2 linked regions of the Lepisosteus oculatus genome follow. The protein of the gene in region 2 interacts with the protein of the main gene of each other region in a biochemical or structural test. Links are inferred from orthologs where the notes say so. Each region holds a gene or a part of one and is shown on either strand. Other genes may lie near its edges.

The links. The genes of interacting proteins can lie anywhere in the genome.
Region 1: the proteins of rufy1 (region 2) and ras-related protein Rab-14 form a complex in vitro, tested with the Homo sapiens proteins (2 studies listed by BioGRID). The link is inferred for Lepisosteus oculatus from reciprocal best matches to the Homo sapiens genes RUFY1 and RAB14.

The regions. Positions count from the first base shown.
Region 1 is NC_090719.1:14,694,305-14,699,676, reverse strand, and holds the start of ras-related protein Rab-14, read left to right. Parts: upstream 1-1,641; 5' UTR 1,642-1,808; intron 1,809-1,850; exon of another isoform or gene 1,851-1,922; intron 1,923-1,965; exon of another isoform or gene 1,966-2,338; intron 2,339-5,372.
Region 2 is NC_090706.1:41,098,569-41,103,940, reverse strand, and holds the start of rufy1 (RUN and FYVE domain-containing protein 1), read left to right. Parts: upstream 1-2,672; 5' UTR 2,673-2,840; coding exon 2,841-3,138; intron 3,139-5,372. Other genes in the region: hbegfa (heparin-binding EGF-like growth factor a), read right to left, coding at 1-150, 649-691. UniProt on the Homo sapiens protein: Activating adapter involved in cargo sorting from early/recycling endosomes. Regulates retrieval of proteins from endosomes to the trans-Golgi network through interaction with the dynein-dynactin complex.

The DNA of each region.
Region 1 (5,372 bases), on a different chromosome or scaffold from region 2:
GGCCAGACTCACACCTGCTGAGCCACAGTGAGCTGCCAGCTGCCAGACACAAACCTGCTAACTGGACTGACCTTGGGGATAAACTCGGACTGAGGCTGCAGGCCAGCATGCCTCTGGGCTGTGGGGGGGGAACTGGAGCAGACCCACACAAACCAGCGAGGAACATGCAAACTCCACACAGACAGCACCCCGGGAACTGAACCCAGGGCTGTGAGGCTGCAGTGCTCAACGCTGAGCTTCACAGGGCGGTGCGACAGGCTGCAGCAGTGGAGCAGAAGGAGCTTGTATCGGGGAAACTCCCCAGCCAGCCGCGGGGGAGAGCAGAAATGTGCAGCCTGCTTGTTGTCCGTTAGCAGGGCTGCCTCGCCGAGGTCCACACCCCCAGCTCTGATCAGCTGTGATGTCTCTGACCACTTCCTCCTGGCTCCTGCGTCCCAGGCACCCTGCAGGAGCCAGATCTGCATCCTTACCCGGACGAGACCCTGATCCAGAGCAGACGCTGCAATCTTTTGAGTCACTTCAGAAAAACAATCACATCCTCTGAAAAAGAGGCCCTTTCTCACATTACCATCATGTCTGGAAACTAGATTTATGACTGAGAGGCGTACTATAAAATCAGTTGTTCATACGTGATACCACAGTGTCAGTGTTTATAAACTGGTCAACAAGGTGAAATATTATTATCACTGCCATGTATTTTACTGAAATGTACAACAAAGGTCTCACCTCTTTAATAGAGTTCCTGTGATATTATCTAGTAACTAACTCACGTTATTTATTTAATTTACATGTTCATCACTTACAAAAAACCTCTGAAGGTGAAAGCCACAATAATAATACAAGTCCAGTCCTTGTACTGTCGTTTATTTTGATAAAGATAGGGTTTAATAGTAGAAATACAGTCGAAAGAAAATACAACGCAAACAAGAGTACATACAACATATCAATAACATCGTCCGTTTGACAAAACAGAGTCAAGAGCCAGTAAGGTGCGCACAGTTTTCATTTCACGTTTTTACATTTCCAAAAAGTCCGCCAACACGCCTTCACACCTGTTGTTGGCGCCGTCCTGTAAAGCCCTCAAAGGCGCTATAGAAAATAAAGCTGTGTCGTTAGAGAGATAAGAGATAGATAAGAGTGGATTGATCCCGTAGGGAAACGCTGTATCATCAGAGAGATAGAGATAGATAAGAGTTGATTGATCCCGTAGGGAAACTGATTCATATTATTATTATTACTTTGAATAGTCCGGGACACAGGACTCTCCCCTCTGTAGGAGCACAGTGCCGTGTCGGTGTCACCGTGAAGCTGAGTGCACACCGTGCACGGCGATACTTCCGCAGTGCTGCCGACGGGACGGGACGCCCGTGGCCGGTGGCCCGTGGCCCGTGGCCTCGCGCCTCGCGCCTCGCGCGGGCGCCGGGCGCGCGCCGCTGCCCTTTGTCCCCCCAGGCCCATTGTGTGTGACGGAGGAAACCCTGTGCAGCGCGGGCCGCCATCTTGGATCGGCAGACTCCTCAGCCCAGGATCGCCCTGCGGATCCCTTCACAGCGCCGGAGCGAGTCGACGCAGCCGCCCTCGGAATCACGGTAAGCGGGCCGGGCCGGACCTCCGGGCCGCCCCGCCGGCGGCTGTCGGAGCCGGGCGGTCGCCTCTGGATGAGAATCTCTCCCTTGTCGTCGGGGGGGGGAGAGAAAGGCAGGCAGGAAGGAGGAGGGGGTGACTACACCCAGATCGCGAATATTATCCGGCTCGGCAAGCCCGTCCGCTCCATTCCTGCACGGCGGCGGGTTCTGCACGCCGGGAAGGTGACTGTCGACGTTTCGTGTCGGTTTTTCCCCCCTCTTGTTTTCGCTCGTTTTGCGGGGCTGCGGGCGGCGCTGGCCGGTGGCTTTTGTTCGGTGTCTCTCTATCCGGAAGAGGTCGGTCTCATGATATTTTGTTTGCCGTTTGAATAAGAGGCGAGGAATACCGGGGAGGGGAGGGGGGGTGTTGAAATATCGAGACTATCGCTTCTCGGTGCCCATCGCACAGGGACTGTCGCTCGTCCGCTGCGTGGCGGCACGTTTGGGGGTCCTGTCCCCCCCAGTGCTGTGTCAGGGGGCTGGAGCGGCGACACCGGTGCTGATGGAGGAGGCGGGCCGGGCCTAGCAGCTCTCGCCGGGCAGCAGCACAACCCCGGCCCGGCTGGGAGGGGTTTAAAGTTTAAACGGTGACAGCGTCGGGTGTAATGAAGTGACAACAACACCGGCCGGGTCGCCGGCCAGATATCCGTCCCCCCCCTCCCTTCTGCAAACGCGATCTGAATTCAAGCGGTGCTGCTGTCACGGCGCTGGAGGTGCAGAGCATGTTTTTGATTTGTCATGCGAGAGATATGTGGGGTGGGGGTGTGCTGTCCGTGTCGCTTCATGAGCCTCTCCTGCGGTCTTATCAATGCGTGCTTGTGAAATTGTGGCGAAGACGGCGATTTCTTAGGCTTGCAGGGCATTGCGCTGCCCCTCAGTCCCGGTGAGCTGAGACAGCAGGCCCGGGTCGGTTAAGGTATACGGTGTTGACAGGCGTAGCCGAGCTGCAAATAAAATGGACAATGACGACTGTTCAAAAGAAGCGTTTTACCCCCCTTCTGCCGCATTTCTATTGCAAGACGCTGCATGCGAGGGTCTCTTAGGCCTCGGCTGTGTTGTCGTCTCTGTAAAGCCGGTTTTCAATGGTCCGTACTCAGAAGACCAATTTACACAGCTCTGACGCGTTCTTGGCCACCTTTTTGAATGGTTTTCCAAAAGACAGCCCAGGACGAGACGGGTGTAGAAAGAGTGTTATCCCTGGTTTCTTGGATTTTTCTGGATCTCTGTTCGAAATCGATTGATTCAGTTTTTCAGCTGGGGGATCTCTAAGCAGGATCGGGTGTGTTCTTTCGTGCCTGAAGACAGCCCGCTAGAGTTTCGGCTCTCGGATGCTCAGTGTGCCGCAGATTGTGATCCGAATGTACCACCGAGAAGGGTTAGATCTGAAAACACGTTTTACAAGGATTTCCAGCTACTTGGTTTTGCTTCTGTCGGCATCCAGGCCCCTGTGAGGTCACCCGGATTGTGTATCCTGGAGCAGACTACAGTTTCTGCCTGATTCTGAAAGATGGGGGGAGTTTTATTATGATAAAGGTGAAAAACCTAGGAATGAGGGTGACAAAATCTGAAGAATCGTGTGCACGAATCCCCTGCTGTTCGCCCTGAAGGACCTCAGTGTTTTACTCTTGCACACACAGGAGGGGGTGTATCCCCCAGGTCAGGTGGAGAAGTGAGAGCTCTTGAGGATCTGCCGTGGGGAAACTGAAAACATAGCCACCAGGTTTTCACTTGAGGGGTGTCGGTTGGCTTCGTTCCGTGTGAGCATGTCAGCCGCTGTTTGGTGGAGATGTTGCAGATAATGCACTGCTGAGTCATGATTTGTAAAAAAAAAACGATATTTTAAGCCCCTGCCGTTTTCGCAATTTCCTGACCTCATTTCACGTGAAGTCATTTAAAGGAGCTCAGGGGTGCCTGGTGAGTGTCAGGTAGTAGGCCACAGAGGGAAGGAGTGTGTTCAGCTGCAGGGAGAGAGATGGTGAGGTCTCGCTCTTGTCAGGGAGAGGAAGTGCTGAACTGGCAGGAGCTCAAGGCAGGTTGGTCACATGCTAGCATTCTCTATGCTTGGGAGATTCTTATGGCATTTCTCACAGGAAGTCTTCTCCTTTTGCTTGTCGGCAGTGACTCAGTGAGGAACGGATTCTTTGCGTGTGCCGTGTATGGCACTCCAGACGCGTTGAAGTACTTTGTTTGAAAGAGAGAGGTCGGCTAACGTCTTAAAACTGCAGCGATCTTTCTTCTTCTAGTTTGCTTTGTGTGTGTGTGGGCAAAGCACAGGCCCAAATCGGCAGCCTCAAAAAAAAAAAAAGGGAGCTGAATGATTTGGTATAGTGCACTTTGCACCAGCTTAGCCCAGAACACTCTCGCGGTCCTTAATTCGTCCGTCATGAAAGATGCAGGGGGCATCCCAGGATGACCTCGTTATTTTTTTTTTAAAACTTCATTTTGATTGTGTTTTCCCATCTTGCCATGCACAAGCCCATCCACAGAGAACCGGGTTACAAAGGCTTCTCAAATATTCTTGCTTGTGGATGCCACACCTCGGGTTCTTGTATGTGTACATTGTTACCATAGATATGACAAGATCACCATTCCACCCAATTATATTACAACTGGGGAAAAAAAACAGGCAGGCATGTAAAATGTACAGGTGAGCTTAGTGACCTTGCCGTGACCTAGGGGAGTCTTAATTTCAGGTACTTTTACCTTTCTGTTAACTTGGGAGGGGGTTGTACAATTTCCTACCTCTGGTTAACTTTTACACATTTTTTTTTAATCAGGACTTAATTCACTGTGATGCCCAGATGTAATTCTGGAAAACTCTGTGTGCTGTCTGTGTGGAGTTTGTATGTTCACACGAGTTTCCTCTGGCCACTCCAGTGTCCTCCCGCAGTCCAGAGGCACTGTTTGTCTGTTTACCTTCCAGGGTTAACTGTATACTGTGCCTGTTGCGTGCCAGAAGAGGATCTAGCTCCCCCGCGATCCTGAATTGCATGAAGCAGTTAGAAAATGGATGGTGCTGTAATCTCGCAGTATGAGGAGCGTGTGAGAAATAACTAGTTATGTGACGGACGTAGATTGTTGCTGTTTCAGACTGGGGCGTCAGAGTTCTTGAAGTCACTACAAGGCGCTACGCTGTTGGGGTATCGGTTATGTTCATAAAGATGAGAGGGAATTTCTTCATAAATGATCTTTTTGCTCATGGGTCTCCGTTAGTCGAGAGTGGTTTATAGGTTCTAGAATGAGATAAAACTCAGTTTTGTATGCATGTGTAAATGTAGCACCTGTGTTGAATGGTTTACTTTGAAATCTTTTTTTAGGGGGGGTGTGAATGCTTAATAAGGCACCTTTATTTCTCAATAATAGAATCAGAGAAATGCTTGTAAATGTCAGTGATCTGGCAGCAGTGTGCCAGCTGTGTCCCCTCAGGCGGTTTGCTGTGAAAACAGCCTGTTCGTGTCTCGGGATCATGTATTATTTGCCACAGTGGTGATGATTTAACGCACTCCTTCTGCGGCTGTCGACCTGAAGTGTCTTTATTGCGTTAAACAAACCTCGTTTATCTATGCGCCGGAAAGGGGAATTGAACTGTTTTCATTTCCGTGGTTTCAAATCCGATCCAAACCGTCGCCTGGCGGGTCCTCGGGCTGGATCTTATCCCAGTGACTGTAGCGTTGAGCACACCGAGCATGTGTGTGCGTGTGCTGACCCTGCTTGGGCTCAACTAGTGGTTAACCTCCACCCAACCCA
Region 2 (5,372 bases):
CCTCAGCCTCCGAGCTCCTGTAGTCGCCCAGGTCGCCCTCTCCGTCCTTCCCGCCGCCCAGCGGGTCTCCACGATCCAGGCTTTCGGGTTCCGCCGTTCTCTCGCCGTCGTATCTTGCGATGGTGGCGCCTCTGACCGAGCTGGACAGAACTGCGGGGAGAAGAGGGGTTCAGACTCCGGGCTCGGCGAGCGCACCTGCGCGACGCAACAGCCCAGGCGTGACGGCGACCACGGCTACCACACTGTGCGTTACAGCCCCGCCGCGGAACAGCCACCAGAACCCCGTACAGGCAGGCGGTTATTCACGGAAACCCGGCTACTCTCACAAGCCTGTACCCACGTTTACACTGCTGAATTTGCTCTCGATCGAATGCGTGTTCTTCTTATCCCGGCAGACGTGGGGGAAAAAAAAAGAGTAGGTTTTAACAAGCGTCGAGAGTGCGTTTGCGTCTGGGAGGTGATATTTCACTCTCGGAATAGAGCATTGTGCCTAACCCAAGCCCCGTGCAGGGTACTCTCTTTCTCCATCTAAGTCACTGTGGAACACGGGAGGGAGCTGCTCATTACAGGCACACAAGTCAAGGAAGAGGCGATGAAGAAAAGCGCCCCAGCACCAACCCAAGTGGAGAACTTGTTGGGGTGACTTACCCACGCAGAAGAGCCCCAAGATTGTCGCAGCGAGAACCTTCATGTCTTCAGACTCGGTAGTAATCCAAAAACGCGACTGCGTCTCCGTCGGTAACCTGCTTTTAGCTCCTAAAGTCCCGTCTGATTCCAAGCGCCGCTCCTTCCCGCAAGTCCTCTCGCACAGATACCGAGTCGCTCTCCCAGCCTGACTGACTGGCCAAGAGGCGCTCTCGCCCGCATTTATAGCGAGAGCACGCCCACCTCCACTCCACTCCTTTCCGGAAGAACACACACTGGTGTTGTTAGCTTTGGCAAAACACAGACCCACAGTTCATGGTGAGCCTTGGGAATGTCAGATCATTTTTAAACGATTTGCATGAAATATAATTTGAAAAGGTCAAAAGGTAACGAAGCAGAGTCTGTGATTATGATGCAACGTGTAAGAGGGTTTATTCTTCCCTCGACTCGTCTGTGTTCGCAGAGGGTGCGGACGCTTATAAATGTGAATATCGGGAACAGACTCTTAAAGAAAATAGGAAACGAGTTTATCTCCCCCCTTAACACTAAGAGCACTGAAAGATGACTAAAACTCGGGAAGACCAATCCCTTCCATCGCTGCGAATTGAACAAGAAGAGGATGACCCGTGGGCGCCAGGTTCCCCGAGTTTAAGGGCAGCCGACAGCAGCGTGTTTAGAGCTCAGGTCTTTGCACCGAGGAGCCGGCTTGAAGACACTACTGCTGCACGCTGTATGGTTGTGCATTTGATGAGTAAACTGTGATTGCTGCCTTCAGCCTGCTTTCCCAGCGAGCCTCCTGTGGGGCAGAATTCAGGGTGCGTGTAGACAGGGGCGCACACGCTCAGTCGGGGACAAGTGCAAAGCAGAAGCCGTGTCCTCGACGTCACAGCAGCTTCGCAAAGGCCCGGCTGTCCCGGGACAGCGGCAAAGCAGGCGCTTGGGCCACCCACGTGCGCTTCGTCCCGACCACGTTTCCGCCCAGGGACGCGCGCAGCGGCGGGCGCGCCGACAGCGCCACCGTGTGGCGGGAAGCGGGTTTCCCACCGTCGAATAATTTCCCAGCTTGTATTTAATGTTAGAGCACGGAGCGTGACGGGACGTCTACATCAAATTGACGTGTATCTATCGATTAATTTAAATAAGAAACACACGCTATGATTCTTACACATTATGATTACTGTTACAGTTCTTACACATTATGATTACTCTTATATTCAGAAGCACTTATAATTATTTTATTTAAATATAAGAAAAATAACGGGGCAGAAGGGGGCAGCTCTAATGCGTAAATTAATGACATTTTTAGTCCTCTTGCGCGGCCTAGTGGACCGTCTTTACCTGATATGTTTCCTTGTTCCAATCAACAGACTGGAAATAACCTTGCATCAGAAACACAGAGCCTCTCCTGGAGGCGACAGGTCACAGTACAGAGCCGGTGAATCTGGAACTCTACACCGCTATTATTAGACAATCATCAATATTCTCAGCTGGAATCAAGTCTTAAAGCAGGTCCATTATTTCAGCCCTCTTTCCTGGGGTCTTTGGTTTTTGCTAACGTGCTGTCATTGACCATTAACTTTTTATTTTTAACCTAAGTTGCCGTGTCGCTATGCATTCTCTGAATCTTGTCTAATACCCTAATCATGTCCACAGCCACAGTGACCTCTGCATATTAGGAACATGTCGTTAATCCCACTTTCTGTGTTGCGTGTTAAATTGAAACTGTGCCGTTCGGATCAGTATATAGCTTCATGGGTGACTTTCTCGTGCAATCTTTGTTTATTCATTTAACATCCCAATTTATTTCTCTTTTTTTAATGCGCGCTTTAACATTTGCCATACCTATTGTCTCTGTGTCATACGATATGTCTTGACATGACGTTTTTTTTTCTGTGTGTCTTGTATCTTGTTGGCTGTGTCCTCCCCAGGAATTATTATGAGTTTATTAGATGATTGATCTGTGCTTTTGCACCTTGTGACGTGTGTGTGACGTGTGTGTGAACCCCCCCCCCCCACCACCACCAAGACGGAGGCGCGAGAGTTGCTCCCACCCGACAGAGCGCGAGCCAGAATTCGGAGCTCTCGAGACCACGGATCAGCCCCAGCTGACGAGCCAGCGGGGTTCGATTGCTCAGGTCTGCTCGCTGCCCTCCCCTTAGCTCGTTTGCTTCGGCCTGGCGTCACATGTTTTGAAGATGGAGGCAGACGCCAGGTGTGTTGACACCGGAGCGGGGGACCAGGATAAGGAGGACTTCGAAGTTTTGGAAGGTGTACCGGAGAGTGCAGTCGGCAGCCCTCAGGAGGAGCAGAAAGAGAAGCCCCCGCCGGACGGCGGCTGGTCGGCTCCGATTTTGTCGCTGGCCAGGAGGGCGACGGAGAGCCTGTCCAGTACCGTCAGCCACAGCAGCGCTCTGAGAGGGGCCGCGTCTGCTGCTGGGGTGCTGTCATCCAAGCCGCACCCGGCCAGCAATGACGGGCACACTCCTAAACCAGGTATTCCCAACTGTTGCTTCATTCTGTGCGCGAAACGCAGACGTTGCGTCTTGCTCGCCTTCGGTGAAAGTTGCGTTTTAGTTACTGCACCGAATCGCCGGACACCTGTCTAGCTAAAAACTTCAGCTGGCCGACCCGATGAAACTTTGGTGGTGGAGCTTGCCCTGCCGGAGTAAAGTAGCTCCCTGCTCTGATTTTCTGTGCTTCTGTCTTGTTTTCGGCACGTCGCCCGTGCGGTTGTTGTGTGTCCGGATGTACCTGCGCAGGTAAGCTCACTCGTTGACGTCAGCGCGTCTGCAGCCGTGGCGCTGGGAGGGCACGAGCCGCGGACCTGCCCGCGCACCCCGCGTGTTCGGGCCACGCAGGGGCAGAGTGCGCTTTTCTCGAAACGGAACCTCAGGATTCAAGGCTCCTGAACAATGCGCACGCCTACATGGTGCGATCGGTTTTATGCGTCCTGAAAGTTTCCCAGTGTTCGGGAAATCAAGTCACGCTCACCGCTCCGGTGCGGGCAGTTTCAAGAAAGACGTTTCAGTGGAGCTCATGCATAGCTGCTCACTGCTCAAGTCATGACACAGTGAGGTGTGACTGCAAGGGCGTGTGATGGTCACAGTTCCTCTTTTCCAGATCTCATTTTAGGCTTTTTCCATGATATTTCCAGGCACGTTTTACAGGACAGTCTGGCAGGTTTAGGGCTGAGGAGCATACAGTGCAGTGGTTCTGACTTCAGATAGTCCCCAGTAGAACTACCAGCAAATTCCTTTTCGTTTGCAGTGACGTGGTTTAATGGTCTCAAACCGGGGTGACGGTCCCTACTGCTGGTTTAGTCAAACGCAGGTCTATAGGCTACAGTCGCCCTCAATGCTGGCTCATCCGGCGGCCAGGAGCTGCGCTGGGAAGGGCTGGAAGTAATGGAAGTGCTGGCAGAGTGTCGGAGCATGGCTGTGGATGTGTGCTGGATCTGCAGTGTGACGCTCGTCTCCGGTCTGAAAGGCTGACAGGGACTGTTCCCTGTGTCCTTAAACGCCCCAGATGTGGAGGTGTCGGGTGGTTAGCGGTGTGAATCTCACTACCGTGGAGAGTGAAAGGCTGTTGTGAGCCGCTGGAGTCGCACACTGGAGTTTGTAAAGGCGATGCTCCTTGTGATCGGCTCAGCCCCGAGACGAAGGGTGTGTTGCTCATCTGCCTGCGGGAGAACGTCTGAGCTTGAAAGGCCCAGTGCTGCGCTCTGTCTGCGTGCTTGAAGGCCGTCCAGTTCGCCAGTTAAGCTCAAGCTGCACAGGTGCAGAGCCACACACGCGTAGCTGCATTGTTAACGGGGGCGACTGATTCCCATCATGAGGTAGTAGACCATTCTAGGTCTTAACATGGCGAGTATTTGAGTTCTTCATCTCTTTGTAGCAAGTTTGGAGCAGAACCAGAAAAGAGACAGAATAACAGTATGGAATGTGTCCGATGGATGAATGAAATTTAGTTCCTTTCAGTTTGCTTTTCAAATTCAGATAAAAAAAAGAAATAATGTCTTTCTCTGGTAGACGGTAGATTGCGTTCTTCTTCCAGGAAACGTGTGATCTACTTCTGCTAAACGGAGATTAGCCATCTTAGTTCAGAGGAGAGGTTTTTGTTGTGCAATACTGAGAGGCTTTAAAAACTTATGAGTGTTGGGACAAATATTATTTGTTTGGTTTTATAATATGTCTCATTATATTTTGGACTTTGACATTCTAGACCCCAGTAATGAGATTATGCTTCTGCTTCTGACTGACAACTATTTCTGTGTATAAAGAGACAATCCTTCCGAGGGTTCACATATTTACAGAATTTGTGTCGCCAGCTCTGTGTGGGTTTTAATTTCAGTATTGCTTAAGTGAGGTTTTGTCGAAATCTAGTTCACATAGGAAGCTTTTATTTTCAGGTCGTATGACGCTGTTCAGTCAGGAGAATTTTTTTTCCCCATCGCCCATAAATCAGCAGTTCCCGTCTCAAAGTGGTGGGCATCTGCAGTTCCCTTCCTTCCGTGTCCTGCAGCGACTGAGAGTCCAGTTCTGACACTGCCACCAACCAGCTCCCCATGTGTCACACGCTGGCGACTGTATCTGTACCCGTGCAGGGTGCGTCACTCGCTGACCTCTGAACATTTCAGTTCCACTTAAGATTTCTGTGAAGAAAGTAACTCTGCTCTGTATTCTGTGCAGCTCATTCTTTGCAGATGTTTATTTCTTATTATGACAGTT